Cricetulus griseus: one gene and its partners. The protein of the gene in region 2 purifies or fractionates together with the protein of the main gene of each other region. This does not show direct contact. Links are inferred from orthologs where the notes say so. Each region holds a gene or a part of one and is shown on either strand. Other genes may lie near its edges. The genes, in order: heat shock protein HSP 90-beta, Hck and Cdc37.

Evidence for each region.
Region 1: the proteins of Hck (region 2) and heat shock protein HSP 90-beta purify together in Homo sapiens (affinity purification with mass spectrometry; 3 studies listed by BioGRID and IntAct, with this or other methods). This does not show direct contact. The link is inferred for Cricetulus griseus from reciprocal best matches to the Homo sapiens genes HCK and HSP90AB1.
Region 3: the proteins of Hck (region 2) and Cdc37 purify together in Homo sapiens (affinity purification with mass spectrometry; 3 studies listed by BioGRID and IntAct, with this or other methods). This does not show direct contact. The link is inferred for Cricetulus griseus from reciprocal best matches to the Homo sapiens genes HCK and CDC37.

The regions. Positions count from the first base shown.
Region 1 is NW_023276807.1:31,881,556-31,891,855, reverse strand, and holds heat shock protein HSP 90-beta, read left to right. Parts: upstream 1-365; 5' UTR 366-504; intron 505-1,739; coding exon 1,740-1,886; intron 1,887-2,002; coding exon 2,003-2,209; intron 2,210-2,434; coding exon 2,435-2,594; intron 2,595-2,999; coding exon 3,000-3,133; intron 3,134-3,215; coding exon 3,216-3,524; intron 3,525-3,851; coding exon 3,852-4,017; intron 4,018-4,172; coding exon 4,173-4,363; intron 4,364-4,455; coding exon 4,456-4,603; intron 4,604-4,720; coding exon 4,721-4,989; intron 4,990-5,297; coding exon 5,298-5,631; intron 5,632-5,738; coding exon 5,739-5,848; 3' UTR 5,849-6,094; downstream 6,095-10,300. Other genes in the region: Slc35b2 (adenosine 3'-phospho 5'-phosphosulfate transporter 1), read right to left, coding at 6,658-7,593, 8,894-9,048, 9,227-9,423, 9,934-9,944. UniProt on the Homo sapiens protein: Molecular chaperone that promotes the maturation, structural maintenance and proper regulation of specific target proteins involved for instance in cell cycle control and signal transduction. Undergoes a functional cycle linked to its ATPase activity.
Region 2 is NC_048599.1:26,863,629-26,874,199, forward strand, and holds part of Hck (tyrosine-protein kinase HCK), read right to left. Parts: intron 7,222-10,571; coding exon 7,068-7,221; intron 116-7,067; coding exon 1-115. UniProt on the Homo sapiens protein: Non-receptor tyrosine-protein kinase found in hematopoietic cells that transmits signals from cell surface receptors and plays an important role in the regulation of innate immune responses, including neutrophil, monocyte, macrophage and mast cell functions, phagocytosis, cell survival and proliferation, cell adhesion and migration.
Region 3 is NC_048597.1:134,003,409-134,014,752, forward strand, and holds the start of Cdc37 (hsp90 co-chaperone Cdc37), read right to left. Parts: upstream 6,410-11,344; 5' UTR 6,298-6,409; coding exon 6,196-6,297; intron 1-6,195. UniProt on the Homo sapiens protein: Co-chaperone that binds to numerous kinases and promotes their interaction with the Hsp90 complex, resulting in stabilization and promotion of their activity. Inhibits HSP90AA1 ATPase activity.

The DNA of each region.
Region 1 (10,300 bases), on a different chromosome or scaffold from region 2:
ACTGTCCTGCTCTCTCCATGTAGGGAACACTCTGGGAGGTGGGCTCAGAGAACGGCAGCCGAGTTAGCCATCTCGGTGCTCTTGCGAGTCGGGGGTGGAGGCGCCTGCCTCGAGGTTTCTGGGGGAGTCGGCGGGATATCCGCGCGTGGACACATCCCTAGCAGCATAAGCGCACCCCGTGGCCCTCATCTTGCCATGGCCTTGTCCTGGTCGTGCAGGAGAGGCCTCGGCTCGCCGCACAGGCCCCGGGTCGCCCCCCCTCCCGCCCCCAGTTGCTACCATGACGTCAAGGTGGGCGGGCGGCGGCAGGTGCGGGCGGCGGCCCCGCCCCCTGAGGCGGAGGGATCCAAGGGCGGGGCCGAGCTGTGCTTCGCCTTATATAGGGCGGTCGGGGGCGTCTGGGAGCTCTCTTGAGTCACCCCCGCGCACACTAACCTCCGCGTGCGAGTCGGTCGCGCTCCGAGCCCACCCGGCCCTGTACTACTACTCGGCTTTCCTGTCAAGGTAAGGCCGCGGCCTCCGGCCCTGCGGCTTCCCGGGGCTCGTTCCCCGGGCTCTCCCCCCCCATTCGCATCCGTCCTAGAAGGTCCCCGCCCAGCCGGGCGGCCTGTGGGCTGGTGTACCCCGAGCTGCTTGCGTCTGGCCCCGCGGGGTGGCTCGGCGAGGCTCCTTGGGGCCCCGGGTTGGGGCCCCGGCGCGTGAGGTGGGGGCGCGGCCCAGCTGTGTGCAAGGCAGCCGCACGTGGTAGGCGCCGACCTGGGACGCTGCCATGTTTGCCCTCCACTTCCGGGCGCAGCTGCAGGGTCCGAAGGGGCCGCGCGGTGGCGGGCTCCGCGGCGTGACTCAGCACGGCCCTGTGAGGCTGGCCTGGCCGCCTCCTTTGGACGCCTTTCCCAACGTGGTTGGGGTTCTTGGGCGTGGGGGTCGTCCACGGGGTGGCAGGGACGCTTGAGCGCACTGCCATTTGCCTTTCCAGATCTTTCCTGCGCTCCGGGGAAGGAGGAGGAGGAACCCGGAGGGGGCTGGCACGGGAAGATCCATTGGTCCCTCCCCTACCCCTCCCCTACTCCTCCCCGCCCTGGAGCTCAGATTGTTCTGGAAGCTCCTGGTGCCCCGCCCCAGTGCCCGGATGCTGGGGCAGTGGGAGGGTTGCGGTGGCGCCCCCTCCCCGATGGCTGCCGCCGACGCGTGTCCGGCAGTGACGAGGGTCGCTGGAAGGCTCGGGCCACCATTTTACTTGTGTTCAGGGCTATGCAAGTCTGCGCAGTGAGAGAGGTCATGGTGGAGCTTTTACCTCTTTGTCCTGGTTTAATTGCTCCTTGAGTGCCTCCATGACTGCAGCCTCGGGTTCCCTGCTCCTGCTAGGATGGAGCGGCACATAGAAATGGCTGCTGTTTCTGTTAGTTTCTTTTTTGCCCAAATAAAGTTGTAAAGGGTTTCCTGTATATGTTCACCGGGTAGCTAACGAATTATCATTTCTTGAATTTTAACAAGGTATGTTGTCGGGTTGAGCCTGTTTGAGCTGTAGTATACCGTTTTGGCTGCGTTTGTTTGAAGAACCATCCATCCTTTGAGTTTTTTCCGTTTTCGGTTTACCAGCTTACTGTAGCTTTTCAAGGTCTTTTTAAAAATGGCGGTTCTCATCCCTTGGGAATGGATACTACTCAGCTTAAAGCATTTTGAATTGGAGTTTAAAGTGCATCCATCGTTTTAGTAATTAATGTGTAATGCTTTCTTAGATGCCTGAGGAGGTGCACCATGGCGAGGAAGAGGTGGAGACCTTTGCCTTCCAGGCAGAAATCGCCCAGCTCATGTCCTTGATCATAAATACTTTCTACTCAAACAAGGAGATTTTCCTTCGAGAATTGATCTCCAATGCTTCTGATGTGAGTATCACAGCTTCATAGAAGCCCAGTGAGGGATTGAGAGGAGTCTGCCGTGGGTTGAGAGCCAAGACAATGTTTGCAGAAATGGAATAATGTGGCTGTGTGTTTATTTACAGGCCTTGGACAAGATTCGCTATGAGAGCCTGACAGACCCTTCCAAATTGGACAGCGGCAAAGAGCTGAAGATTGACATCATCCCCAACCCTCAGGAGCGCACGCTGACTTTGGTGGACACGGGCATTGGCATGACCAAAGCTGATCTCATAAATAACTTGGGAACCATTGCTAAGTCTGGCACAAAGGCTTTCATGGAGGCTCTCCAGGTGTGTGGCCCTATATCCACAACATTCTCAATACTGCTTTTGACTTGTTAATTTTTCAGTACTTGTTTTCACTAGTGATATGGTAGGCTTTTAACCTATGGAGATCAGAGGATTACTGGCCAGTAGGTCCCAGGGATTGAACTACTTGATAGTTACACTTGAGTTCAGCAAGCACTTGTGCAGAACCATTTTACTTACCTCTTAACTTTTAAAATCCTTTGGCAGGCTGGTGCAGACATATCCATGATTGGGCAGTTTGGTGTTGGATTCTACTCTGCCTATCTCGTGGCAGAGAAAGTGGTTGTGATCACAAAGCACAATGATGACGAGCAGTATGCTTGGGAGTCCTCTGCTGGTGGATCCTTCACAGTGCGTGCAGACCATGGTAAGCTGCCTGTCCTCGTTTGGATGCTTGGTAGAATTCTCTGGAGGATAGAAAGTCCAAAGTCTTGATCATGCACTGTTTAATCTCAGCACTTTGGAGGCAGAGGCAGATGGATCTCTTGTTTTAGGACAGCCTGGGCTACATAGAAGCCCTGTGTCAAAATGGGGAGCAGGGGGTTGAGTATTTTGGTTGTAGTTTTTTTGTTTGTTTTTTTTTTCTTCATTGTGGTTTTTTGAGACAGGGTTTTTCCTGTGGCTTTGGAGGCTGTCCTGGAACTAGCTCTTGTAGACCAGGCTGGTCTTGAACTCAGAGATCCTCCTGCCAGGATTAAAGGCGTGCACCACCCCACCGCCCAGCTTAGTTGTAGTTTTCTATGTCTTGATTCTATCATTCACTTTTTTATAGGTGAGCCCATTGGCCGGGGTACCAAAGTCATCCTTCATCTCAAAGAAGACCAGACAGAGTACTTAGAGGAGAGGAGGGTCAAGGAAGTGGTGAAGAAACACTCGCAGTTCATAGGCTATCCCATCACCCTCTATGTGAGTATGGACTTGGCAGTATTTGAGCAGTCTTTGCTGGTGATAAGTTCTCCACAACTCATTATCCAATTTGGTAATTTAGTTGGAGAAGGAACGAGAGAAGGAGATCAGTGATGATGAGGCAGAAGAAGAGAAGGGTGAGAAAGAGGAAGAAGATAAGGATGATGAGGAAAAGCCAAAGATTGAAGATGTGGGATCAGATGAGGAAGATGACAGTGGCAAAGATAAGAAAAAGAAAACAAAGAAGATTAAGGAAAAATACATTGATCAGGAAGAGTTGAATAAGACTAAGCCCATTTGGACCAGAAACCCTGATGACATCACTCAAGAAGAATATGGTGAATTCTATAAGAGCCTCACCAATGATTGGGAGGACCACTTGGCAGTCAAGGTGAGAAACCTTACATGGTATGTTAATTGGAGGGGTACATAGAATGTGCTGGAGGTGGTACCAAGCAGCTTGTTCAACTGGACATCATGACTGTCTCTGGGAACTACTCAGGCCTTGCTTGGCAGTGGTTTAATTCACTTTTTTACCTTCTGGTGGTGGCCATGACTGCCATGGAGGGATACTTTTTGCTACTAGTATTCTAGGTTTACTTAGTATTTGAGCTAGTTTCTCATCGTAGGGTTTTTGGGGTGTGGCATTTCAGTGATAGATCTCTGATACTGGGACTTGAGGTGATGTTGTCCTGAAATGTACTACTGGGTTTTTCAGCACTTCTCTGTAGAGGGTCAGTTGGAATTCAGAGCATTGCTCTTCATTCCTCGGCGAGCTCCCTTTGACCTTTTTGAGAACAAGAAGAAGAAGAACAATATCAAACTGTACGTCCGTCGTGTGTTCATCATGGACAGCTGTGATGAGCTGATCCCCGAGTACCTCAGTGAGTATACCTTCAGCATACAGCTGAGACTATCTTTAACCCAGATAATTACAGTCCTTGGCTTCCCAAACCTTCACTTGGCTGGGTGACTTAAATCTGATAACCAGACCAGGTCTGACCCACCTCACCTGTTCCTTGGCTCTGGTTGATTGTAGACTTTATCCGTGGCGTGGTGGACTCTGAGGACCTGCCCCTGAACATCTCTCGAGAAATGCTCCAACAGAGCAAGATCCTGAAAGTTATCCGTAAAAACATTGTGAAGAAGTGCCTTGAGCTCTTCTCTGAGCTGGCTGAAGACAAAGAGAACTATAAGAAATTCTACGAGGCCTTCTCCAAGAACTTAAAGGTATAGTGAGCAAGTGATTTTTCTTCTGATGACTTTGTGTTGAAAGTATTTTTTTCAGCTCATATTTGGACTTTTCTTTCCTACCCTTAAAGCTTGGAATCCATGAAGATTCCACTAACCGTCGGCGTCTCTCTGAGCTGCTGCGCTATCATACCTCTCAGTCTGGAGATGAGATGACTTCCCTGTCAGAATATGTGTCCCGCATGAAGGAGACACAGAAGTCCATCTATTACATCACTGGTATGTTGGAGGGAGCTTGGGTCTGAGCACAAAGCTGCCTTGAAGGTGTGGGATTGGGGAAGACAGGACATGTTGCAGTTATAAAGGCCTTTGGTCACTGAGTCTTTAATCCTATAGGTGAGAGCAAAGAGCAGGTAGCCAACTCTGCCTTTGTGGAGCGTGTGCGGAAGCGAGGCTTTGAAGTGGTGTACATGACTGAGCCTATTGATGAGTACTGCGTGCAACAGCTCAAGGAGTTTGATGGAAAGAGTCTGGTCTCAGTGACTAAGGAAGGCCTGGAGCTGCCAGAAGATGAGGAAGAGAAGAAGAAAATGGAGGAGAGCAAGGCAAAATTTGAGAATCTCTGCAAGCTCATGAAGGAGATCTTGGATAAGAAGGTTGAGAAGGTAAGTTTGTTGGAAGTTTGTCCTCTAGAAATGTTATGCTGTTGTACAGTTAGTGTGGGGCCCTTCCCCCAGCAATACTGTATCTGTTGGTGAAGTAAGAACTTTTTTTCATATAACAGTGATTACACCATCTAAATCATACATGCAAGAAAAGGCCTTGTTGTGTGTTTCCCTGACCCTAACCCAGCATCCAGAGTAGCAGCTGAAGTTTTGTCATTCCACAAAGAACTTTTTATGTGGCTCCACATGGAGTGTGTGTCAGGACAGCCAAGGCTACATCTTGTGACTGACCATTTGGTTGTCCACAGGTGACCATCTCCAATAGGCTAGTGTCTTCACCCTGCTGCATTGTGACAAGCACCTATGGCTGGACAGCCAACATGGAGCGGATCATGAAGGCCCAGGCACTCAGAGACAACTCTACCATGGGCTACATGATGGCCAAAAAGCACCTAGAGATCAACCCTGACCACCCCATCGTGGAGACTCTGAGGCAGAAGGCTGAGGCAGATAAAAACGACAAAGCTGTCAAGGATCTGGTGGTGCTGCTGTTTGAGACTGCTCTGCTCTCCTCTGGTTTCTCACTTGAGGATCCCCAAACCCACTCCAACCGCATCTACCGCATGATCAAACTAGGCCTGGGTGAGTCAGCCTTGTGAGCCACATAGGTGGCAAGTTGTTGGACTGGCTGGATCCCCGCACAGACTTAGTACTACCATTTTGCTCAAGATTTATTTTTCTTTTTCTAGGTATCGATGAAGATGAGGTGACAGCAGAGGAGCCCAGTGCTGCTGTTCCTGATGAGATCCCCCCACTCGAGGGTGATGAGGATGCCTCCCGCATGGAAGAAGTAGATTAGAGATCCCCTGGGAAGACCATGTCCTCTGTATAGTTTCCCTGAGCCCCACCCCCCATGCCTTGGCTGGCCCCAACCTACCTGGCTCTCTGTTCAAGCTAGAGGATCTCTTTATCCTGTCCTTGTGCCTTAAGGCAGGAAAGTCCCCTCCCACAGAATAGCAGGGTTGGGTATTGTGTATTGTGGTTTTGTTTGTTTTATTTTGTTCTGAAATTAAAAGTATGTGAAAATAAAGAAAATGCAGTTTCATATAGTACTATTCTCCTTGTAAAGTACCACTCAGGATGGGAGGTAGTTCCCCTTTCAACCAACCAACACACGGCCAAGTCACTGCTGCAGTTTTAATCAAATAAGAGCAAAAGGTGACATTCCCAAGTAGCAAAACTTGAGCAAGGAACACAAAGGCCCCAAAGGGGCTGGGCAGGGCTTTGTTTGGCACAGCACCATTTTCACTAGTGTGCCCCCCTACCCCCCAACCACATTAGGACCTGTAAACTTTGTGCTGCTCTTGACCAGCTATGTCTGGCAGTCTTGCGGGTTGGGTGTTAAAGGAAAAACAAGCAAAGGCTAGGTGCTGGTTTACAGTTCTACCAGCTAAACCAAGGTCTCAGGTTGTGGGGAGGAGCTCTATCTGGATTATCTCCATAACTCAGACCCACAACTACCAAGTAAGTAGGTGGGGCTCTTAAGGCAAAAGAGGCTGCCTCCAGGGCTCCAATCCTCTGCTGTACACTGAGATGTTGAAAATAATTTTGCCCTTGAGTCAGCGCCTCTGATAAGCTACAGAAAACCAGAGTGAGGGTCCTTAGTCCTCATACCTTCTGCACTGGGGGCTCAGTTGGTACAACCTTCTTTCCCCGCTGCTTACGGCCCCGGGCATAGACTCTGAGTAGGAGGGCAGTGAAGACCACAGCCACTCCCAGTCCCCCCACCACAGTGACAGTGTGGCCATAGAGGAGGCAGGAGAGAAGGATGGCAATAGCCTGGCGGAGAGTCATGATGATGGTGAAGACAGCAGCTCCAAATTGTCCAATGGTATAGAAGATGAAGAGCTGGCCAAAGGCAGAGCAGATGGAGAGGAGGAGGGCATGAAGTGCAAACTCACTGTGCCGTCCCATAAAGCGGGCTCCCTCCAGGAGGGCCCCCTGCTCCAGTAGTGAGCCTACTGTGAAAAGACAGGAGAATAAATTGACCCCAAACATCATCTGCACTGATGACATCTTATAGGCAAACAGGGCATCCTGCCAGTTTGAGGTGAAGCTGTCAAAAGCAATGTAGCCTGCCAGTAGAATCAAGCCTGAGAGTGTGGTGGCTGGAGAGCTTCGGGGCTCTGGTCCACTAGACAGCAGAAACATGCTAACTCCAATGGAGATGAGGCCGGCAGTCAGGTATTCCCAGTGTTCATAGCTTCGTCTAGACACCAGCTTTCCCATCATCATGACAGGAATCACCTTGGAGGCCTTGGCCAGCACTTGGGTAGGGAAGCTGACAAATTTAAGCGCTTCGTATTGGCACCAGCTGCTAAGCACGTTAGACAGACTGGCAAAAGAGTACCGGTACATGGGTGCCCCATGACGGGGTTGTTTGCGTAGGACACAGTAGAGACCTGCCACGATCAGTGCCAGCACACGGTTCATTAGCACCAGGAACTGTGAGTCCATGAAGTGCTCGCCTGGTGATGTGGCGGTGGCCCCATAGCTGCCGGTCATCACTCTTTCCTGCAGTACACCCCAAGTCAGATAGGACACCTGGGAGGAGGAAGGGGGAAGAATGGTAATGGTAAACAAGAAAAGAAGGTGGAAGTCTCACTTTTCTCTCCTCCTTGGGATGATTGTATACGATGTAACAACACCATCCTTTCTGGTTCCTCTCTAGTAGAGGCTTCTTTCCTAAGATTTAATTCATCTTGTAGAGAATCACATGGAGTTGCAAACACAGTGACACCTGTTTTAGGATCACACCCTGTCCATCTTCTTAGCACAAGTTCATTAGAGCTGGCTCCATATACCATATAGTCTTATTTATTTTGAACCAATTCAAAATAAACTGGAATGTTTGGAAGCCTCAGAGAAGGCTGGCCACTTTCCCTTTGACATATATCTAAGTAGGTTGGCATCCACTCCAAACCATGGCCTGTGACAGCACCCTACTCACAAAGGCGGAATGGCTGCCTCAAGTTTTGTGTGTGTGTGGTCCTGGGGAATCGACTGTACTTGGTAGGCAACTACTCTACTAATGGGTTATATCCCTAGAGCCCCTCCCACAGTATTTTATTATTTTGAGACAGGGTCTTGCTATGCAGCTCTAGTTATACTAGAACTTGACATGTAAACCAAGATGATCTCCAACTCCAGAGATCCACCCACTCTGCCTCCTACATGCTGGGACAGACATACCTCAACACTTGGTTTATTTTATGTTTTAACAGAATCTCACACTAAATTGCTCAGGCAGGCCTTGGATTTTTTTCTTCTATTTTATTTTAGTTTTTATTTTTTGGCTTTTCAAGATAGGGTGTGTCTGTGTAGCTCTGGCTGTCCTGGGACTTGCTCTGGAGACCAGGCTGACCTCGAACTCAGAGAGATTCTCCAGCCTCCAGAGTGCTGGATTAAAGGCATGTGCCACCACTACCAGGCGCAGGCCTTGAATTTTCAATTCTTTTGCTTTAGTTTCCAAACAGGTGGGTTGACAGCTTGCGCCACCTTGCTTGGCTTTCCCAAAAATTTTGTAAGTGAGCTCATACATTAGACACAGTACACAGAGCAGTAAAAGAGCACAGAACAAAAATACAGAAAAGACAGGCCCTCTTCCACACTAGACATCATTACAGATTGTATGGTGAACTTTTGGGAAGGTGTTGAAGGAGGAAAGGATAAGAGGAAGAGAGTAGCATTTCCTTCAACACTTTCAGGGAGGGACTGTCCTCCAGGGACATAAACCATACCTAAATCAACAAACCTTTGGTATGGGCAGGACAACTTTGGCTTCCATTAAGTCCCTGGCTGTCTGTACCCAACCTGGGAAGAGAAGGGGAGCCTGTCTACTTACCTGGAGCCCCGAGGCACAGAAGATCAGCTTCAGGACCTGCCAAGAGGGACTACTGTCTGCTGTCTCTGTCCGGGGAGCCAGTGGAACCTCATCAGAGGCCTTGGGCTCATTGCCAAACACACAGGCCTTCACCAGGGGAAAGCAGAGACCCCTGCCTTTAGAAGACACACAAGGTCAAGCTCCACAACTTCTCTAGAGCAGCCAGCCCACACCCCCTCACCACCCCGTCTGACCCACTGGCTTCCCTCCCTTCCCAAGTAACGTTCAGCTTTGAGTATCTACCAACACCTGCAACCGTACCTCGCTCACGTCCCCACCCTTTGACCACATTACCTGTCTCCAGGTAGTTCTTCCGTCTTAAGTATTGCACCAGGAGGTAGCCAGGTACCATAAAACTGGCATAGCCAGCAACATTCAAGAAAAAGCGGAAGAACCACAGCTGTGTCCAGGACTGCGGAGGGGCTTCGGGGGACTCTCCACCTGCTCCCGAAGACGGGAGCGCGGCGAACACCACCACTGCCCACCACCTGCTGGGACAGCCAAAGCAGCGATTAGGGTTGCAGCTCTCCAGCCCTTTGCTGTCCGGAGGGGACTGTCCCAAGGAAGTACCCAGTGGCGTCCCCGCCCCCTCCGCCGCAGTCCAGCGGGACGGACAAAGAGCCTCTCTCTCTCCCTCTCTCTCTCTCTCGGGGGGTCCGATGCAGGCCAGGCAGAGCCTCCTCCCTGCCCGGGGGCGGCGCCGCCTGCCAGCCACATAGGTCGCCTCTGTTCCCTCCAGCGCGCGCGGGCAGCTCAGGCCACAGGCGCGTCCCCTCCCACTCCAGAGCGCCCGCCACAGCCCCGCAGCCCCTCCCGGAGACACTCCCGAAGCCCCCCGGGAACACAGGCCGCACGCTGCGCCCCCAATCCGCGCCGGCTCCTGACAGCGCCGCGCGGGTCTGCAGCGGGAAGACCCCACCCCGCCTCCCGAGCCCGGGGGTCTCGGTCACGTGGCCCCGGGGTCTCGGTCACGTGGGCCGTGGCTGCCCAAGCCCCCCCACCTGGCATCCATGGCCCAGCCGCGTGGGGCGGAGGGGGGACCGGGGCTTGCGAGTCCCCGGGCCGCACGCTCCCTCCGCTCCCTCCGCCGCCCGCTCCAGCAGCCAGCTAGCCAGCCTGCCAGCGGAAGTGCGCGCTCTTCCCGCCTCCTCCCGGCCTGAGCCCCTCCTCGGCGCCCCAACCACAGCGCCCCCGCGCGGCCCGGAGGCAGACCATCCCCGGTTCTCGCGGGGCACCCCAGTTGGGGCTCCCTCCCAATTCATGAGCCAGCTTGGTCACAGTCATCAACGCTTGCCTTTCCAGACACAGTGACGACTATTGCCACCTAGTGGACCGGACTTTTGAGTACCTGAGACCCAAGCACTTCCT
Region 2 (10,571 bases):
CCATAGGTGACAATTTCCATCAGCAGGATACCAAAGGACCAGACGTCTGACTTGATGGTGAAGGAACCAAAGTTGATGGCTTCAGGAGCTGTCCACTTGATGGGGAACTTGGCTCCTGCAGGGTTGGACAGAATCAGAGTGAGTCTGGGGAGCAGTGAGGGCTGGGGCTCTGCTAGGAAGAGAGGAACCAGGACAGGGACACCTGCTGCCCCCTGCAAACAGTGATGTCCTTGCAATGTGCTTCCTACATCCATGGTATCAAGAGATGTCTGTCTTGAGGACAGACAGCTGAAGCGAGGAGGAATGAGCATAGGGATATAATGCAGGCGCTTGCTTTGGGGACCAGGTGCCGCCTCGACACCAGGTGATACCTGGTGAATTATAACTGACAAGTGGGGTCCTGGAGGTCTTTGGGGATGGAGGAGCTTCAGGGTGGCTTGAGTCCAGGTTACAGCTGATACCTCAGCCCACCCCACCCCCAGCCATGGGGTGCAGGAGGGACCTCAGCTGCTGCCTGAGGTTTGCCCTTCACTGGGTGTCCCTTCCCTACCCCTCCCTCCTTCCCCCTAGGATGGGTTTGGTTAGCTGTTTGTGGGTATTTGTCTTCATTCCAGTCTGACTGGTGAACATGGTCTGTCTGTAGCTGCTCCTAGATTTAGGATTATTTTCCGATTAAACCCACAGTAAGGCAAAAACCAGAAGTTAAAAATGCCTTGAACACTTAGCTCACTTAACACTTAGTTCAGCAGCGTCACACCGTGGCTTCTTTGTGTTTCCTCTGGTGACTAAATCAGAGCTGTAGCTCACTGCTCTGACTTAGCATCATGAGGGAAGACAGCAGCATATCACCAGACTGGGAAAGAAACCAATATCCAAATGGTGAGCACACTCACTCACTCACTCACTCACTCACTCACTCTCACTCACTCACTCACTCTCACACTCATTCACTCATTCACTCATTCATTCATTCATTCATTCATTCATTCTTATGAGACAGGCTCTCTTATAGCCTAGGCTGGCCTCGAACTCCTGATCCTTCTGCCTCCACCCCCCTATTTCCCAGATTGGAGCCATGTGCCACCATGCTCACCTTTGCATCATTTCTTCTGAATGCAACTATTTCTGCACCATCACAATGGTGAAAGTCAGTGTTGGAGATTATAGCCCAGCTCTCAATCGCTCTCTGCTGCCATCTGCTGTCCATGCCCCATCATGGCTGGCAGAGATATAGGCTGAATGCTGAGGGGCAGGACCAGCAGCAGGGCTGAGAGGTGGGAAGAGCTAGAGAGCTTCAAGCAGTTCCATTTCAAAGACTTCAGTAGGGCGCTTGGCTTCATGGCCAGAGTGGTCCTATAGGTTGAGAAGCTAGACCACCATCTCTAACGGTTTAATGTCCACAAGGCACACATCACCCTAAGCACCCATGAGCACGGGAGCCTTTCAGAGCTGGACATAACCCTGACTGGCTTCATCACGAAAGCAGCAGCATCAGGGGAAGAAAGCGACTTAACCAGGACCCAGGGAGGGATCTGAGGACGCTTAGCCACAGACTCTTGCTGCAGTCCAAACTGCCGTGTCAACTCTAATGCCTCCTCTTAGGGCTGGCTCCTGCCTGTGGAAAGAGCCAGTGTCACTGCCAACACCAGTGACTAAGGCCTTCCCCCCATGCCACTTTCCACCCTCATGGCTCTGTCACATGACGCTAATTTGAATTAGTGTTCCCAATCTTTGCAACTTCTCTACAGACATATGAGGCAAATGGCCTTTTTGTGGTTCCAATTCAATTAAAAATTAAAGCTGGCTTTGGAGTTGGAGTGTGGTTCTCTTTCTCCTTCTCTAAGCCCACAGATGTTTGTTAAAGGAAAATGCAAAATCCCTGTCTCATGTCAGAAGAGCAACCTCGTATGGGACAGAAGAAAACAAAATGTATGGGACGATTCTATTGCCATTAATGTTATCATCCTTTGGTTTCCATTTGACTCTTGAATACTTTCTTTTAATACTCTTAATTTATAAATATTATTTTAAATTTTATAAGGATATATACATATATATTTAAACTTTGTCATGATATTAATGGTTATACAGAGTATTAACTAATTCTGGAAATAAGCTTTATCTAGCTTCCTGTATGTGATTTTGGGCTTGAGTCTGAAGCAGATAACTAGGAACTAAGTTTGTGTACCCTGGATGTATTTAACAGACTGTGGTCCTCTAACCTCTTGGCAATCTGCTACATATGATTTTTAAAATGTTTACACTTTCTGCAGGGAACCATGACCATTCCTTGGAGACCTTTGAGGTCTCTGAGAAGATGATGGGGGCCCTGCAGTGATGAATCCCCCGAGATTGTGATAATGCCACTAAGCTGACAAACACAACCCAAAGATCAGCTTTGGACTACAAACTGCTCAGGACAGCTTCAAATCAGACAGTTAAGATGGTCCAGTCTCCTAGACTACTCCAGCCAGGACTTCAAGTAAGCACTGACCTTTCCCATCACACCAAGACTGGACAATAGCTAGCTCTCCCAGGACTTGGCCATTATCTCATTTTTCCCAGGGTCCCCTAAAGATGTCTTTGCCACCAGAAAACAGGAAACAATTTTACATGACACCCGGGCTGGAGAGATGGCTCAGTGGTTAAGAGCACTGCTTGTTCTTCATAGGTCCTGAGTTCAATTCTCAGCAACCACATGGTGGCTCACAACCGACTGTAATGAGATCTGGTGCCCTCTTCTGGCCTGAAGGCAACGTGCAGATAGAACACTGTACACATACTAAATCATAATAGATAAATAAATCTTAAAAAAACAGAACATGACACCCAGCTGGGTGGTGGTGGCACACGCTTTTTATCCCAACACTTGGGAGGCAGAGGCAGGCGCATCTCTGTGAGTTCGAGACCAGCCTGGTCTACAAGAGCTAGTTCTAGGACACCCTCCAAAGCCACAGAGAAACTCTATCTCGAAACTGCCCCCCCCAAAAGAACATGACATCCATATTCCCAAGAGGTGGGGGTGTTTTTTGGTTGTTTGGAGGGTTATGGATATTTATCATCATTTAGGGAGGGGTTAGTTGCAAGTTGTTATTGGTCATGGCCAGAGAGGAAACTAAGCAAAGGCGGTCAGATTCAGGGATCTCTTTTTGAAAAGATGAAAAAGGGAGGATATAAGAATGATAGGATAAAAGGGTAGATTATTGAATCTACTTTTAAACTAAAAAGCAACAATTAATCTCAAATATTTTACATTGGTATGGATTTTTGTATATTGATTCAAATTTAAAGTTACTTTTGTTAGAACATACTGTATATATGTTTCTACTATCATTTAAGGGAGTTTTGTATATTGATACAAATTTAAGGTTATTTTTGTTTTAACATACTGTGTATATGTTTACACCCTTGTTTAAGGTATTTTGCCTATGCAGCTCATTTTAAAATGTAAAGTTCTAGTCCTTGAAAGCTATTATTATAAACCATTTAAGATAAACTTGCAGTCATGTTAGGTATGTTTTCAAGGTCAGAGCTATATTTTAGATAAATAGATGGTCTTCATACACTTCAGAGATCTACAGAATACGGCATTTAAGATGTTTTGATAACATAAGGATTTTCATGACAGTGTGATACGTCTGCTTCTGGCAGCACCAATCACTTCAGAGAAGATAATGGGCATCGAAGAACCTCCATATGGAATTTGCTTTCATTTTTGGCAAAGTTAGCCATTGGGCAAGAAATTGCCCTTGCCTCAACTGCTGATAGTATGCTGTCCAAATTGGACAAGCAGGACACAAAGGAAGACAACTGCCAAACTTTGCCAAGACAAAGTAGAGCAGTCTTTCAAAATTCCTGCTTCACAGAAATGTCTGTCAGATATTCTAGGCCTGTACAAAGATGCACACCCAGTGTTGCAGAGGAACCTGGGGTGACTGTCCAGACAGCCAGATGTCTCTGCATTTCTATGGTTTTGGAAGTTGTTTGCTTTGTACTTCCTGCTTACTTGGGTAATATTACACCCTTCTTGGGTCTCTGAGGGGTTGAAGACTAGATATAACATTTTCTTTGTTACCAAATTCAGAAAAGAAACTTAGAAAAGAGATGTAAGGTTTATAAGGTTGAGAGACATAAAAGTTTAAGTTGTTTATCTAAGAAAACGTTTTAAGGTCTAAAAGGATATTTTTAGGATGGTAATAGAAGTTATGACAGAAAGTGGTTTAGGTATAAAACTTAGGATTCAGCAAAATAGGATAGATAACAGAGTAATTTCTCTGAATTTGCTAAATACAAATGGATATTGTAAATGTAATTCTTACCTGATAATTGTTCTTTTTAAAAAAGATTTTATTTACTTATTATGTATACAACATTTTGCTTCCATGTATATCTGCACACCAGAAGAGGGCACCAGATCTCATAACGGATGGTAGTGAGCCACCATGTGGTTGCTGGGAATTGAACTCAGGACCTCTGGAAGAGCAGCCGGTGCTCTTAACCTCTGAGCCTTCTCTCCAGCCCCCCTGATAATTGTTCTTATTGTATATAGTTTTGCTATGTTAGAGTTAAAACTTTTCCTTTTTTAAAGATAATACCTGGTAAATTTTCTTATTGTATATAATTTTACTGTGTTAGAATAAAAAATCTTTACTTTTTATTTAGACAAAAAGGGGGGAATGTTGCAGGATATTTGATTTCACTGTGACACTCTGAGACTATTTAAAGTTGGCCTTGAATCAGAGGGTGGAGTCAATGACTAACTGACTGGAATTAGCCATAGAGATTTTGGAGGACCCAGAATATGATAGAGAGACACAGAAAGGAATAAGGAGGGGCTTAGAAAGATTTCCATGCCCCCCCCCCCTTTTTTTTGATCTGGGAAGTGTGGAGACAGGGTTAGCTGGTCATTCTTCTCTGCTTTCTTGATCTATCAGGTTTTTACCCCAACATCTGACTCCTAAGTTATTAATAATGAACAATTTAGATAAGTGTTTCACGGAACTGGGGTTATAGATGGTTGTAAGTCATCATGTAGGTGCTAGGAACTTAGCCCAGGTTCTCTGCAAAAGCACCAAGAGCTCTCCATCACTGAGCCATCTCTCCAGCCCCTCCTTTCTTTTCGAGAGACAGCGTTTACACGTTACAGGTTGGCTCCAACTCATGTAGATCCCTGAGTGCTGGGATCTACATCCTTAACTCTAAGCCAGCCATTTTCTTTATTGCATACTTTTGTTTTATGTGGTACTAAGACGTGAACTCAGAACCTTGAACATGCTTGGCGGGCACTCTATTATCAAGCAACATCTTCAGCTGCCATCTTTTATATCTAGAGTTTTCTTCATATCTCGCTTATTCTCTACAGACTTAGATTATATAGCCAACTTTTCGTTTTATATTTTTGTACTTAATTTAAACTTTATCCAATCATGACAGAAATCAAATGGTGTGTGTGTGTGTGTGTGTGTGTGTGTGTGTGTGTGTGTGTGTGTTACTTGAGATTGAGTTTAGCACAATGTACATGCTAGCCATGTGCTCTGCCACAGAACTACAGCCCCTTTACTTTTTATTTTGAGACAGGACAGGACCATTAACTTGTCCTGGCAGGCCTTGGACTTGTGATCTCAGTCTCCAGAGTAGCTGGGGTTACAAGCTTATACCTCTAGACTAGGCTAAAGTGTACAGATATTTAAGGTCTAACTTGATGGTCAAAGCTGAGTAGCCCCTGTGATAATCAGATTAAGGCAGAGAACATTTGCAGAAGGCTTTCAGAAGGCTCTTTCCAGCTCCTCCTGGGCAGTATCTCCCCACTCTAGCTAGCCCCTGTTCACAGCTTTGTATGTATAAGTGAATTTTACAGCTTTAATGAGATATAATTTACAGGGCATAAAATCCACACATTTAAAGTGTGTACTCCAGTGACTTTTATAATAGTGGAAGAGTTGTGAATTTTAGACTTTTTCATTACATGTCATCCAGTCCCATCCCTAGCACTCAGAACCCCTTTCTCCCAAGTCCCCCCACCCCCCAGCCCTAGGCAACCACAGTTGTCTTTGTCTCACTTGGGAAGTTCATACCAAGGGTAACAGATATCTGTATCTGTGCCTGGCTTCCCCTTAGCATGTTTCCAAGACCAGTGTATGCCACATCGCATGCCTTTCAACACTCCGTTCCATTTTATCACAAGCATAATTCTGTGCTATGGATACTCCACATTTTCTTCATGTGTTCATCAGCTAATGGGCATCAGTTAGGGTATTTCAGTCTGGGGCTTCACTTTTGCCTATCTGTGGAACCTCCTGGTATCTGCTCTGTTTAGATTTGCCTCTTTCATTTGGATGTCATATCTCCCCTTTAGTTGCAGGTGGCATTGATGTAGTGTGACGGGGATTACACCTATAGCCTTCTGTGTTAGTCTAGCCTCCACCACTGAGTGCCATCTCCAGCCCCTGTATGATACAGTTGATATGCACACCCTGTCTGTGGACACTTAGATTGCTCTGTTTTTGTCTCCTGTGCATAAAGTTACTCTCACCCCTCACTGCTACCTGTACTTGCCGAAGTTGTCATGTCAGTCTGGTCTGAAATGTTCCTCTTCAAGTCTTGTGTGTGTGACATTAACATTGTCATCCTGACAGGATCTAAAATCACCCAGGAGAAGGCCCCCTGGGCATGTCTGTGAGGGACTTCCCGAATAGGGTTAGTTGAGGTGGAAGACCCATCCTGAATGTGGGCGGCTCCATCCCACTGGCTGTGCAGCACATAAAAACGAAAAAGCAAGCTGAACACCAGCATCTGCCTGTCTGTTTCCTGACTGTGGACACAATGTGACCAGTTGTATGCTTTTACTGACCCACCATGATAGGCTGTCCTCTCTATAAGCCAAATTAAATAAAGCCTTCCTTAAGTAGCCTTTGTTGGGTATTTTGTCAGCGAAGGCACTGTGCACAAGGACCCTGTCAAACTTGATGCAAGAGTTAGTCTAGGACAGACCTTAGCTGTTTCCAGTCTCTCTGACAGGTGTCCACGCTCAGATCTCCCAGCCCTTGCAGGAGGGCAGCGTCCCCTACCTTCCCGGGCTGTGTACTCATTGTCCTCGATGATCCGTGCCAGGCCAAAGTCAGCAATCTTACACACCAGGGATGCGGAGACCAAGATGTTGGCAGCCCGGAGGTCTCGGTGGATGTAGTTCCTCTGCTCAATGAAGGCCATGCCCTCCGAAATCTGCACCCGGAAGAGACAGTGTCATCGTCACATACTAAACTCTAGTAAAGAACTCAAGAGAATTCTTTTTTCTAACATAACATTTTTATTGATTATTTGGGGATTTCACATAACGCACCTGATTACACTCACTTCCCCAGTTCTCTCAGGTCCACCCCACCCTGTGACCTCCTCCCAGAAAAAAAGAAAAGGGAAAAAACCCCACAAGTCCATCTTGGGTTGCCTATATACTCACTGTAGCATGATCAAACTCCCAGGCCAGCCCCTTAAAGAAAACTGAGTCCTTCCTCACCCTCACCCCTGCCAGAAGGCATCAACTGGGAAGAGCTACACTTTAGCATTCCTGTCACAGTTTTTAAGAGTTCCTATCAATGACTTCCTGTCTAGACTGTTTCTTTTTGCAGGGAGGGTAGGGTGGGGATGGGGGGAGGTAATCAGAGAAGCCTTCTATGTCCCTCTTTCTCAACTGTGAGTTTGCAGTCATCAATACTACTACAAAAGTAGCTTCCTTGCTTCTTCTTTTTTGTTGTTGTTGTTTGTTGTTGTTGTTGTTGTTGTTGTTGTTTTGGGACAGGGTTTCTCTGTGTAGCTTTGGAGCCTATCCTGGCACTCGCTCTGGAGACCAGGCTGGCCTCCAACTCACAGAGATCTGCCTGCCTCTGCCTCCTGAGTGCTGGGATTAAAGGCAGGTGCCACCAATGCCCGGCTGCCTTGCTTTTTACAGTCAGTGACAACACAGACTTCTGCATGATTTCTGGCGATAGCATGAACCGCAGACATCTATATTGTCTCCAGTGGCAGTACAGACCATGGACATCAACACGACTTCAGGTGACAGCATAGGCCACAGTCATCTACATGGTCTTTGTTGGTAACATAGACCACAGACCTCAATATGTCCTCCAGTAGCAGCACAGCTCTCAGCTGCAGCATGGCCCACAGACATCAACATGGCTTCAAGTGGCAACCAAGACCAAGTGTATCCACTTGTCCTTCTGTGGTAACACAGATCACAGACATCAACATAGCCCTCAGCTGGAGCATGGACCATGGACACCCTCATGGCCCTCAGTGGCAGAACAGACCACAGACATCCACATGGCTTTTGGTGGTAGCAGGACCACAGATATCAACATGGCCTCCAGTGGCGGCACAAACCACAGACATCAACAAGACTGTGGGCATCAACATGGATAGAGTGGCTAGCTACACAGACCACGGATACCAGCATGTCCTCCAGCTGTTAGCATGGACCACAGATACTGACAAGGCCTCCAGGGGCAGCATGGATGATGGGGGTCTTTCCAGGTGGCCCAAAAGCAGAGAATGAGCTGTTCTTAATCTTGGACATCTTATCAGAGCCAGGACGATAGTGCCGTTGGGCAGTGTGTTCTGGAAAGAGTCTGCATAAGCTCCAGGCTGCTGCACACCACCCTGCCAGTCCTACTCAGCAATGACATGCTCCTCTGTCCCATGTCCACTGCAGCCTCCTCCCACATGCCACCAATGTTACATCTCTGTTTCCGCCTCTCTCCATCCTGCACATGCCGCATTGTTCCTCCTCCTTTCCCACCTATCCGTCTCATATTTGTTTGTTGAAGTAGCATTGAAAACCCGCAGTGTGTCACACAGCTCTCCCTCCCTCTCTCTCTCTCTCTCTCTCTCTCTCTTCTCTCTCTCTCTCTCTCTCTCCTCTCTCTCTCTCCTCTCTCTCCCTCTCTCTCCTCCCCCTCTCTCTCTCTCTCTCTCTCTCTCTCTCCCTCTCCCTCTCCCTCTCTCTCTCTCTCTGTCTCTCTCTCTCTCTCTCTCTCACACACACACATACACACACACGCGCGCGCGCAGCTTTACATTCAAATATTCGTTGCAATGGGTCATTAGTTTGGTTCAAGGTTTCTGGTTTCTGAAGCATCATAAATATTGAACCATCACTGAGACTCGTTTTGGATATCTGGCTGTTGCCTAGAGTCAGGGTGATCTTGTGGCTAGGCAGGCATCCAGGGGCAGGATCTGAGAGAGCTCCAGTCCACCGCACACCTCTCTGCTCTCGATGCTGGCAGGTCCGAGGCTCACCGGGCACAATCATTGTGCCTGCAGCCCGCAGGCAGTACTGCGCACCAACACACACTCCTAGCCCACGAGGGTAAGCAGCGGTGGCAGCCCCAGTGGCACTGTCCCCCATTGCTCCCATACCCTTCATCTCTGCATTTTAGTTTCCTCATTCTCCATACGCGGTTCTGCTCTGCCATCTTCCGATTTGGTGAGCCCACTCTTTAAAAACATCTTCCCACAGGATCTGCCTTTTAAAAAGTTGTTCCACAGATACCAAGGCTCTTCAGACTCCTCCCGCACTGACGCATCTCCCCTGTGAGCCTCCATGGGTTTCTCAGGCTCCTTGGAGCTGCTCCATGGTCCTGTATCAGGCTGCTGCCATCTCCGATCAGAGCCATGCTTTAGGTTTTCATCTTTGACGGTTATGGCATGATCCTGGACCTGGGTCTGCAGCACCAGCCCTCCCACATGCTCTAGCAGCTCGTAGATGGAGTAGATGTTGGGGAGGACCGACTGGAAGAGCTAGATCTCAGCTGGGATGGCAGCCGGGCTGGCCAGCCCATGGCATGAGGGCAGTGTGAAGAATTCTTATTCTGGAAGCTTCTGGTAGAAAGATACATGGCTGTGACTTGGAGATTTTCTTGCTTATAAAGGTTAGGACAAAAGAGGTGGAAGATGAATCTTGGTCGTCTAGAAAGCAGCACATACAATTTATAAAACTATCTTGGAGCTATGTGAAGGTAGAATCATCACGATCCACTTTACAGAGATACTTGTCCTGAATATCAGCTTCAAACCAAGCTGACTCTAGAGAGCAAAGACTGAATTATCAGATGAGATTATCCTAGGGAATCCCGGGGTGGCAGAGTCTGATCAGACAGACCAAAGCAGGGCTGGCCCGTAAACTGCAAAGCCTGAAGTGACCAGGTAGCGCACTTGCAAACAATGAACAGCAGAGGGCGTCAAAGGCACTGGAAACAGACCCAACTTTCTGAATGCAATCTCAAGACTGATTTTTGTCTGAAACAGAGGTTGTAGTGGAGTGAGACTGGCTTTGACCTGAAGAGTGTGGAAAATTTATAGGGTATCTTTAAAAGAACAGCAAAAGTTATTAGGATGATACTGCAGCTTATTTGTTATAAACTGATAAACAGTTTTTTGTTTGTTTTTTTGTTTTTTTGTTTTTCCCCCTATAGGCTTGGGGAGATAGTTTTGCTAACCCTTTCCACAGGAGAGAAAATGAAAGCCCAGAGAAGTAAATAACCAATGCATAGCTGCATAGCATGAAAGTTCCAGAA
Region 3 (11,344 bases), on a different chromosome or scaffold from region 2:
ACAAAGAGGAAATGTGGGAGCCCACTGTGTGGGTGCCAGGGATGGAACTCAAGTTGTCGGGCTTGGTGGCAAGTGCCTTTACCCACTGAGCCACCTTGCTAGCCCTTGCTTACCATCTGAAGACATCTTAGGTTGCACCAGCACCATTAACAGAACCAAAGAAAAACCCAAATGCCCATGGTGGAGCACTCTTGTGACCAAGCACTCAGGGAGGTTGAGGCAGAAGACTGAGTATATACCAGGCTAGCCTAGGCAACTCAGCAAGTCCTGTCTTGAAATAAAATTTACAGCCAGGCATGGTAGCAAATGCCTTTAATCCCGTCAATGGGCAGACGGAGGCAGGTAGATCTCTATGAGCTCAAGTAAATACAATAAATTTTAGGGCCAGTGAGATGGTTCAGAGAGTAAAAATGCTTGCTGCCAAGTCTGATGATCCAAGTTCCAGCCCTGAGACTCACATGGTGGAAAGAGCAGGGATTCCCAAGTTGTTCTCTGACTTCCCCACATAGCACTAGTGCATATTCCTAGACACACACACACACACACACACACACACACACACACACACACACTCACACACACCACACTCACATGCATGCACACAGTCACACACACACTCACACACACCACACTCACATGCATGCATACAGTCACACACACACACACACTCACATTAAACAGATAAACAGATTAAATGCGCCAAAGATTCTTCACTTACCAAGAATTTGACCCGTAGAAAGCCATTTATTTATTTAGGTTTTTTGAGACAGGGTTTCTCTGTATAGCCCTGACTGTCCTGGAACTCACTCTGTAGACCAGGATGGCCTTAAACTCAAAAGATACACCTGCCTTTGCCACCTGCTGAGATTAAAGGTGTGCACAACCGAGCCCAACCCAACCCAACCCAACCCAACCCATTACAAAGTTGTCATAAAAGTGTGGATATGGGCTGGAGAGATGGCTCAGAGGTTAAGAACACTGACTGTTCTTCCAGAGGTCCTGAGTTCAATTCCTAGCAACCACATGGTGGCTCACAACCATCCATTATGAGATCTGGTGCCCTCTTCTGGTGTGCAGATATACATAGAAGCAGAATAATGTATACACAATAAATAAATAAAGTCTAAAAAAAAAATTGTGGATATAGTCGGGCATTGGTGGCTCACACCTTTAATTCCAGCACTCGGGAGGCAGAGGCAGGCGGATCTATGTGAGTTTGAGGCCAGCCTGGTCTCCGGAGCTAGTGTCAGGATAGGCTCCAAAGCTATACAGAGAAACCCTGTCTCGAAAAAGCAAAAAAAAAAAAAAAAAAAAAACCCAAAAAAGTGTGGCTATATAGATGTGTGTGAGTGCAGTACTAGAGGCTGAACTTAGGGTCAAGTACACATCCCCAGCCATTTTATTAACGTTTTGAGAGACAGGTTTTCTCTGCATAGCCTCCGGAGTGCTGGGATTAAAGGCGTGTGCCACTATAACCCAGCTTAATTTATTTTGTTTTGAGAGTGTTTCTATGTGACCTTGAATCTGTGGTAAGACTCCTGCTTCTTTGTCCCTAGGGCTAGAGTGACAGGTGTGCGGCACCATGGCTGGCTTTTCACTTTCAGACACACAGAAAGAGAGACAGAAACACAGAGAGCCGGGCAGCACTCAGGAGGCAGAGGCAGAGGCAGGAGGATCTCAGTGAGTTTGAGGCCAGTCTGGTCTATAGAGTGACTTTCAGGACAGCCAGGACCATCCCACAGAGAAACCCTGTCCAGAAAAAAACAAAACAAAACATACACAGACAAGAAAATACAGACACACCCAAAGCACTAAAGTAAGGACCATAGGAGGTTGGAGACTGTATAGGTGACTACAGTGAGATAGCTCCCAGGGAAGAGCACTGTGCAAGGATAAGCCGAGTTCATATCCCCAGTATTCAACAAAGAATTGTGCTGCCTGCAACCCCAGCACTGTAGGGATCAGACAGGAGGAAGGCTGGGGCTTATTGGCCCCAGCCTAGCTCCAGGTTCAGTGAGACCTGTCAAGGGAACAGGGCAGAGAGAGATGAAGCAGGACCCGACATTCTTCTCTGTCCTCTGCATATGAATCCACACTCATGTGCACACATGACAACAAAAGTCCCCTTCTATGGCAGCCCTGGCCTGTGTCATGTTCTCCCAAGGGCTCTAAGGTCAGCACCTTGCTGGCCCCAGACAGCGACAGGAAGTTGACAGGCTGCTGGCATTCTGGAGGATGGCCACCATCTGAGCAGCTGCCAGGAAGGCTGAAGCTAACAAAAGAAAGGGGGGGGGGCATGGTGCTGAAGATAGATAGTGGCCACCTGCCCGGCCTGGCTTACACCTTTCACATGGAAGGGGCAGCAGCAGGCTGACCCAGGCACAAGTAACAGGACGGTGTAGGGGTTCCTTACAGAAGGGACCCTGAGGTTCTCAGAATTTTGACATTGGAAGGAGCCAGAAGAAATCCCACATAGCACATGTCTGGCCACAGAGCCTAGGAGATAGGGGACTGAGCTTAGTGCCCCACATCTGCTCCACAAGTGGCCTGCTACTGAGCTGCACGGTGTCTCCTTACATTACTGAGGCCACCCTGACCTCACCTACACTGTCTAGGCTGGCCCTGACCTCACCTACACTGTCTAGGCTGGCCCTGACCTCACCTACACTGTCTAGGCTGGCCCTGACCTCACCTACACTGTCTAGGCTGGCCCTGGCCTCACTATAGTGTCTAAGCTGGCCCTGACCTCACTCTACATTGTTGAGAATGGCTCTGAATTTGTGATCTCCTGCCTCAGCTTCCCCAGTAGCTGGAAAAATAGGCCTGCACACTGGGCCAAATTGGGATTTGTGCCACAGTGTGTGTGTGTGTGAGGTGTGGAGGTCACAGAACAACTTGTGTCAGTTTTCTCTGTCATGTGAATAACAGGGATTAAACTTCGGTCATCAGGCTTGGTGACCAGTGCCTTTACCAGCTGAGCTACCTTATAGGGCCCTTGCTGTTTATTTCTAGACAGGGGCTCAAGTAGCTCAGGCTGGCCTCCATTTGCTATGTGGCCAAGGATAGCCTTGAATGACAGCCATGCACTATGGCATCTGGCTTTGAATTTGTTTGGAAACCACAGGCACACTTATAAAGCACTGACAGGAAGTATTACCCCAAGGGAATCAGTTATTAAATATCAGGAAACTTGTACCAACCCTATGGGTCACAGAGATCCTACTCATTCTCAGGAAGACTGAGGCACAGAGCAGCCAACCAGAGCCCTGCAAGCCATAGCACATCAGGGAATGTGACCTATCAATCAGGCCTCTCTGTTCAGAGCTTATGAGTCCAGCCCAATCACAGATGGATGCACAAGAGGCAAGGTTGGAATGTCCACCAGAGCCTGCCTATCCTCCCACATGCTGGGGCAGAAGGCCCCACTTCCCTCCTCAGTATTACAGCCACAGCAGCAAGACAGGAAGCAGGCTCTGTACTAGTAGAGGGGAGGCCTTCCTCCCACCCAGCAGGCCCCAACTGTTTTCCACAAAGTAGGAAGATGAACCTCTTCATAAAACTATTCCTGAGAAGAGTTCACCAACCACAAGGGGGTCTTCAGTGCTGGCAGCTTGCCTGGCAGGCAGTCATCCTAGGAAACTGGAAGGAATGGGTGTGTGAATTGGGTGGAGGACAGACACTAATTTGGGGGAGACAGGGAGGACCTTCTAGGAGCTTCCAGATAAATGAGCAGGAGCTGCCCTCAGGAAGATGGGGTGCAAAATTCCTAACCAGAAAGTACCTGCCCTAAGCTTGAGAGTATAACAAACTCAGGGTCCAATGAGAGGGCTCGGTGGGTAAAGGTCTGCCACCAAGCCTGAAAACCTGAGTTTGATCCCCAGAACCCACATGGCAGGAGAAAACAGATTCCACCAAGTTATCCTCCGTGGACTACACATGTACATTTACACATACAGGAGTGTATACACAAATGAATAAAATACAATTTAAGCACAGGGTATAGCACACAGGTAGGTGGATATAGATGCTGTGATTTGGGAGAGCAGGTTAGACCCTTGTCTCTTTACTGTTGTGCTATGGATGGAGCCCAGGACCTCCTGCATGCCACACAAGAGCTCTATCACTAAACCACATCTCCAGACCACCCTTAGATCTTGGTAGTACACTACTGTCCCGTGGTCAATGCCGGGCAGAAGAGGGGTGGAAAACCATGGCTCAAACACACGGGATTCTAAGGTCTGAATCTGGGGGACTCTGTTCTGGACAGATGTAAAAAAATGTGTAGGATTTTATTTTATTTGCTTGGGTGTTGACAGGATCCCATGTGGTCCATGCCAGCCTCAAGCTTACTATGTGGCTGAAGGCTTTGAACTTCTGACTTTCCTGTTCCCATCTCCACAGTGCTGGGACTACAGGCCTGTCCCACCATGGCTAGCTTTTAAGCACTGCTGGAGACACAGTGCAAGGCAATGACACACAACTGAGCACCAGCCTATTTGGTTTTTGAGACAGTGTTTCATGTAGTTCAAGCTGGCCTAGAATTTAACATGTAGCAAGGATTGACTGAATTTCTCATCCTCCTACTTCTACCTCCCAAGACCTGAGTTTAAAGGTATGTGGCATCATGCTCAGGAAGTAAGGTGATGTTGGGATAAGATCCAGGAGATTCCCCCAGTTAAGTAGGATGATTTGAACACTGCAGAGAAGCCAAGGAGGCTGCAGGGGAAAGGGTGGGAAGGATAGAATAGGTTTGGGGTTCTGAGCTCAGGTTTGGTGAGTTTCTTTCTTTCTGTTTTTTGTTTGTTTGTTTTTCAAGTCAGGGTTTCTCTGTGTAGTCCTGGCTGTCCTGGAATTCTCTCTGTAAACAAGGCTGACCTGGAACTCACAGGCCTGCCTGTGCCTCCCTAGTGCTGGGATTAAAGGCGTGTACCACCACTGCCCGGCTCCTATTTTGGTGAGTATTCAATGATGGCCAAAGTTCATACAGGAGCCAGGGACAGGATGGGGGTCTACTTACTATAAAGGAGCAGGCAGAGGTTCTGGACGGAAGTTAAGTGGGTAGGGTTTCCTGGAATAAGGGGAAAAGCGTCTACAGGAGGCAAGAGTAAGGGAAGCCACAGGGCAGCAGTGGAGCTGGAGGCCACATGGAGAGAAGTCCTAGGTGGGACTGAAGTCCCCAGTGGGATTCTGGTCTGTACTCCAGGGAAAGGGACCCTGGGTTGTGGAATCCCAGCGGAAAGCTAAGATCGGGAAATTAAGTGTAAGACACAGTTCTCATTCAGTTTGGGAGTTGGGGGCAGGGTATCTCTGGGCCTTAATGTAAATTTGTGCTTAAGATCCTGGGAAGTAGATGCCCCAATCAAATCAAAAGTATCGTGGACCCAGACTCCAGGGGCTGAGAAGAGGCAGAAGGGAGGTGTTCAATCAGCAGTGGGCACATGGCTAGAACAAGGGAGAGCCTAACAGAATCTGAGTTCTGGACTCCGAGAAAGAATTCTGAGGAGAAAAAAAGGTTCCATACAGGATGATGGGGACCCCTACTCACAAGGGCCGGCGTTTGGAGAGTCTAGACTCTGATGAAAGTATTAGGAGTTGATAAGAAGATTCAGTGTGTATAGGAGGTGCTTGTGGCAAATTGGGGTGACCTAAGTTCCATGCCCAGTTCCAACGTGGTGAAAGGAGAGGCCTGACTTCTGTTAACTGTCCTTTAATCTACAGATACAAGCTGTGCCACGAGCACACAAGACACACCACTACAAGTAAACTAACAAACAAATGTACAAATAAAATAAAAGAGATAGCAGCGGGGAAAGCCCAGAGATGACCGTGGAGAGTTAGGAAGCCCAGTGATCCTGAAGTCCTGGGATGGAATTTAACAGTCCAGGCCACATGACGGTATACACCTTTAATCCCAGCACTGGGAAGGCAGAGGCAGGCGGATCTCTGTGAGTTAGTGGCCAGCCTGGTCTACATAGCAAGTTCCAGGCCAGGCAAGGCTATAGTGAGATCCTGGTTCGATTTTTTTTAAAAAATAAGAGAGACAGAAAGTTCAGATTGTGGAATAGGAGGCTCCCGATGTCAATAACTGAGTTTCCCCCGACCCGCCCGAACCAGGGCGGCCAGGGTAAGAGGTCAGAACTCTAGAGCGGGGGGTCCCGGGAGTGGGGGGAAGGGGATGCGCGCGCACAGCCCCACCTGGTGCCGCCAGCGGAAGAGGCTGGCCGTGTCGATGTTGGGGTGCGTCTCGTCCTCATCGTCCGACACCTCGATGTGATCCCAAACGCTGTAGTCCACCATCTTCGCCTAGGAGGCCCGGATTGGCTCCCGGCGCTCCACACGGCCGGGCGCTGAACAGGGACCCACAAGGGATAGAGAGTCCGCTCGCGGAGCCCCGCCCCTTCCGCTTCCGCTCACGGCGCCGCGCACGACGGCCCCGCCCCAGCATCCGCGCGTGACGTCACGTCCTTAGCAACGGGACTCGGCGGCACTGACGACCGGAGGTGATTCTTAAAGGGCCAGGCTCACGTTGTTCAGCCTTCTGGGAGTTCCCGCCGAAACCCAACCGAGCATCCCCTGGGGACAAAAAAGGTAGTTGCCTAGGGGTTGTCGGCCCACGGTAGTCCCAGCACTTGGAAAGCAAAGTCAGGCCACTCTCAGCGAGTTCTAGGCAGGCCTGATCGACACAGTTCCAGGCCAGCCAGGGCTCCGCAGTGAGATTCTGTCTCAAAAAAATCAAAATTGAGCCGGGCGTTGGTGGCGCACGCCTTTAATCCCAGCACTCGGGAGACAGAAGCAGGCGGATCTCTGTGAGTTTGAGGCCAGCCTGGTCTACAAGAGCGAGTGCCAGGACAGGCTCCAAAGCCACAGAGAAACTCTGTCTCGAAAAACCAAAAAGAAACGCCTTATATCCCAACACTCAGGAGGCAGAGGCAGGTCTATAAATCGAGTGCCAGGACTGTTACACAGAGAAACCCTGTATTGAAAAACAAAACAAACAGAAAAGAGTGAAATTTTGCGGTTTTTTTTAGGGGTGGGGTGGGAGTTGAGACAGGGTTTCAACAGCTGCAACAGCTCTGGCTGTTCTGTAACTAGCTCTGTAGTCCAGGCTGGCCTGGAATGAGTTGAGATCCACCTGCCTCTGCCCCCACCAGTACTGGGATTAAAGGCGAGCACCACCAGTGCCCGACAGATTTTTACTTTTCTTAAGATTTATTTACTTACTTATTGTGTTTACAACATTCTGCCTGCTTGTATGCCTGCACAGCAGAAGAGAGCACCAGATCTCATTACAGATGGTTGTGAGCCACCATGTGGTTGCTGGGAATTGAACTCAGGACCTCTGGAAGAGTAGTTAGTGTTCTTAACCTCTGAGCCATCTCTCCAGCCCCGATTTTTACTCTTAAAAAAAATTTTTTTTTTCAAGACAGGGTCTCACTATGTAGCCCTGGCTGTCCTCGAACTCACTATGTAGACTGAGCTGGCCTTGAACTCACAGATCTCCTTGCTTCTGCCTCCCAATGCTGGTATTGAAATCATGCTCCACTACACTGGGTCTGCCCTTAAAATTTATTTTTTTAAATTACATTTCAGGGGCTGAAGAGATGGCTTAGCAGTTAAGAGCATTGGCTGCTGTTCCAGATGACACAGGTTCAATTTCCAACACCCACATAGCAGTCCATAACTGTCTGTAACTCCAGCTCCAGATGTTTTATTTTATTTTTTGGTTTTTTGAGACAGGGTTTCTCTGTGGCTTTGGAGGCTGTCCTGGAACTAGCTCTTGTAGACCAGGCTGGTCTTGAACTCACAGAGATCTGCCTGCCTCTGCCTTCCTGAGTGCTGGGATTAAAGGGGTGCGCCACCAACGCCCGGCCATTTTTTTGAATAATCAGTTTTATGAAATTAATTGTGTGTGTGTGTGTGTGTGTGTGTGTGTGTGTGTGTGTGTGTGTACATGTGAATATCAGGACAACTTGCTGGAGTTAGTTCTCTTTTTCCACCACGTGGGTCCCCCGTATCAAATTTAGTGGCAAGCGCCTTTATCAACTGAGCTCTCTCTCTGACCCCAGTCCTTTAAAAAAAAAAAAAAAAAAGTGTGTGTGTGTGTGTGTGTGTGTGTGTGTATACCAGGCTGCACATGTGACAATCATAATTTGCTGTAATTGGTTGTCTCCTTTTACCTATGGGTCCTGGGATCAAACTTTGGTCATCCAGGTTTTGCGGCAAACATCTCAGCTCCAGTACTTAAAAAATATATATAATATTATATATTATATTTATTATAATATATATTAAATATATATTATATTAAAATATTATATTTGTATTTATTGGCCAGGCAGTAGTGGCTCACGCCTTTAATCCTAGCATTCAGGAGGCAGAGGCAGACAGATCTCTGTGAGTTTGAAGATAACCTAGTCTACCTAGTGAGTACCAGAACAGCCAGGGCTATGTAGACTGAATTTATCTCAAAATAAATAAACCAATATTACACTGGTTTATTTATGGGGCAGGCAGCGAGTGCTAGAATGCGCATGTTGAAGCCAGAAATCAACTTTTGTAACTCATTTGTCTTTTTCCATAAGGACGATCCTAGGGCTGAAACTCGTGTCTTCAGGCTTGGTGGCAAGTGTCTTTACCGCTGGAACGCCCGCCCGAAGGCTAAGGCTTGAAGACCTGCCCCTTGACTTAACCCTGCGGTGGGTTTGAAAGAACTTTTGCAGTCCGAGGGTTGGTAAGTGGCCAACGTTACAGCCCTGCCCAGGCTTGGGGATCAGAAAGGATGATAATTGACCCTGTCCGGGGACTTTCATCTCGCACCACTGGTAGGCAGGATCCTCAGCGCCTGCAGCCTTCTGGAATCATCCAGAATCCCCCATCTCAAGTGCCTCCTTGCACAGCCTCTGGGTGTCGCTGATGTCTAAACAACCCCAGCGTTCCCAGCCCTGTGCCCAGGGGAAATTAGAAGGCTCTAGAGAGGCTTCCCCAGCCATCTGGGGCTGCCCACAGCCTCTTCCAGCTCACCTGAGCCCCTGAATTTCGGCTGGGGCTTGGGGGAATCCATTTTTTTCTGAGCTTGAGATACCCAGGTGGTACATACCTCCCCAAGCTTTGATAGAGGATCTAGAAACTGGAGCTGCAGCCTGAGGCCAGGATTATCTCAGTTTAAGGGATGCGTCTTGCGGTGGGGTCAGGGGGAAAGAGGAGTTCTATCCATTTGGCTTGGGGCGGGTTCCTCTTCCCAGCTTTTCGGAAGCTGTTGGAGAAAGGGCTGTCTGGAGCGAATAAAGGTCTGCAAATTGGGGGTGGGGGTGGTGGGCATAAAAGCTCCTTCCCGCCATGGACCCTCCCCTTCTCGCTCACCCGAGGGTGGGCGGGCAGAGCAAGGGGTCTCTGTTCCCTTCCCCTCCTCCCCCAGCTTGGCAGTCCACCTCACCAGCCTCGGTCAACCCCAGCCCGGGCACGCGCACGACGGACCTTACCCGGAGGGGCTCCCTGTACACACCCACACACACCACCAAACAAAGGGTCTGGACACTTGTCCCCTTCCGCTGTCCCGACCCCAGGCCAGAGAGGGAGTGGCTCCTCTCTCCAGCCCCCTTTCCCAGCAAGGTAAATTTGGGGGTTGCGAGCTGTGTTGGGAAGGGAACCCGACTCCTGGGAGGCAGGGCCTTAAGATCATGGGGTTCCCCCAGCTCTCCCACCCTTGGCTTGGTACGTTCTTGTAGGGTCTCCACCCCACCACTCACTCACTCACTCTGTGTGTGTGTGTGTGTGTGTGTGTAACCCTGGCTGTTGAGAATTTTCTGGTAGGTGAGGAGATATTCCCCTCTAGGCTGCCTAATGGCAGAGAGCTGGGATTAGGGCTCCGGGAATCCCCATCATCACCAAGCATTTCCTAATCTTTTACCAGCTGTGTCTAGCCCCTGGGGACAGGGAGAGGCACCCAGGCCCCAAGTACTTACAGCTGTTTCTCTATCTTGCATCCCTGGTAGCCCACCTTCCCCCAGAGAACCCTACAGTAGTGTATCTTGCTTCTGTAGAGTGCAGGGGAGGGGGAATTGAGACTGCTCCGGGGCGGGGCTGAGGCTGGGGTGTTGCCAACACCACTTAACTGCATCCAGATCCCAGATATCCCCGCGGTTCCATTTCTGAGCCTCTGTCTTCATCTGCTTACAGCAGTAACTACAGGCAGAGACTAAGGCAAGCCAGGAGACCAACATGCCTTTATTCCGTGTTGTTTCATTCCTATTCTCCAACTCCATACTGTAAATGTCAGCCACGTTGGTGTTGGCTGGTGTTGCAGCAAAGGGGAGACACTTACAGTTCCCTGCTCCTAGTTGTCCAGGGAGCAAGATCCACATATAAATAAGTCTTTGCATGTAAACTTACCGTCACGATGGAAATTCTGCCAGGAATGGAGGTGTTGAATGCCTGACCTTGAAGCACTTGGCAGGTAGAGGCAGGAAGGTGGATCAAGGCTGACAGTGGCTACAAGGGGTTTGAAGACTGTCTAGGTTTCAAGAGATCCTGTCTCAGAAAACAAAAGTCTGTCCTGGAATGGTAACTCTCACCTTTAATCCCAGCACACTGGAGACAGAGGCAGAGGCAGAGTGATTGTTGTGAATTCCAAGTAAGCCTTAGCTACAGGATGAGTTCCAGGACAGCCAGGAACACACAGTGAGACCCTGAAAAAGAATCCTAAGTGAAGGAAACTAAAATTCAGCCTATATTCAGATAATTGGGCAACAGGAAAGAGTGCTGTCATGAACTAATTAGTCACTCTTCCCCCCCCCCCTTTTTTTTCTTTTTGAGACAGGGTTTCACACAGCCCAGGCTGGCCTTAGACCCCTGATCCTCCTGCCTTTAACCCCCAGCTGCTGAGATGATAGGTGCTAGCCATCCTGCCTTGCTCTCTTACCTAGGAGTTGAACATCATTTTTATAAAAATGAGGAAGGGGGGCTGGAGAGATGGTTCAGCAGGTAAGAGCACTGGTTGCTCTTCCAGGGGACTGCATTCAATTCCCAGCAACCACATGGTGGCTCACAACCATCTGTAATGAGATCTGGTGCCCTCTGGCCTGCAGGGATACATGGCATGCAGAACACTGTATACATAATAAATTTAAAAAAAAAAGTGAGGAAGGGGTCAACCAGATGGCTTAGTGAGTAAAGGGGCTTGCTATCAAGTTTGAAGATCTGAGTTCTGTCTCCAGGACCACATGGTGGAGAGAGAACTGACTCCTGTCTTTGAGCTCCACGTGTACACTGATGGCAAAGTGTTTACACATAGCCATCTTTCCCTTCCCCACATAAATAAAGAAATGCAATTTCTTTCTTTCTTCCT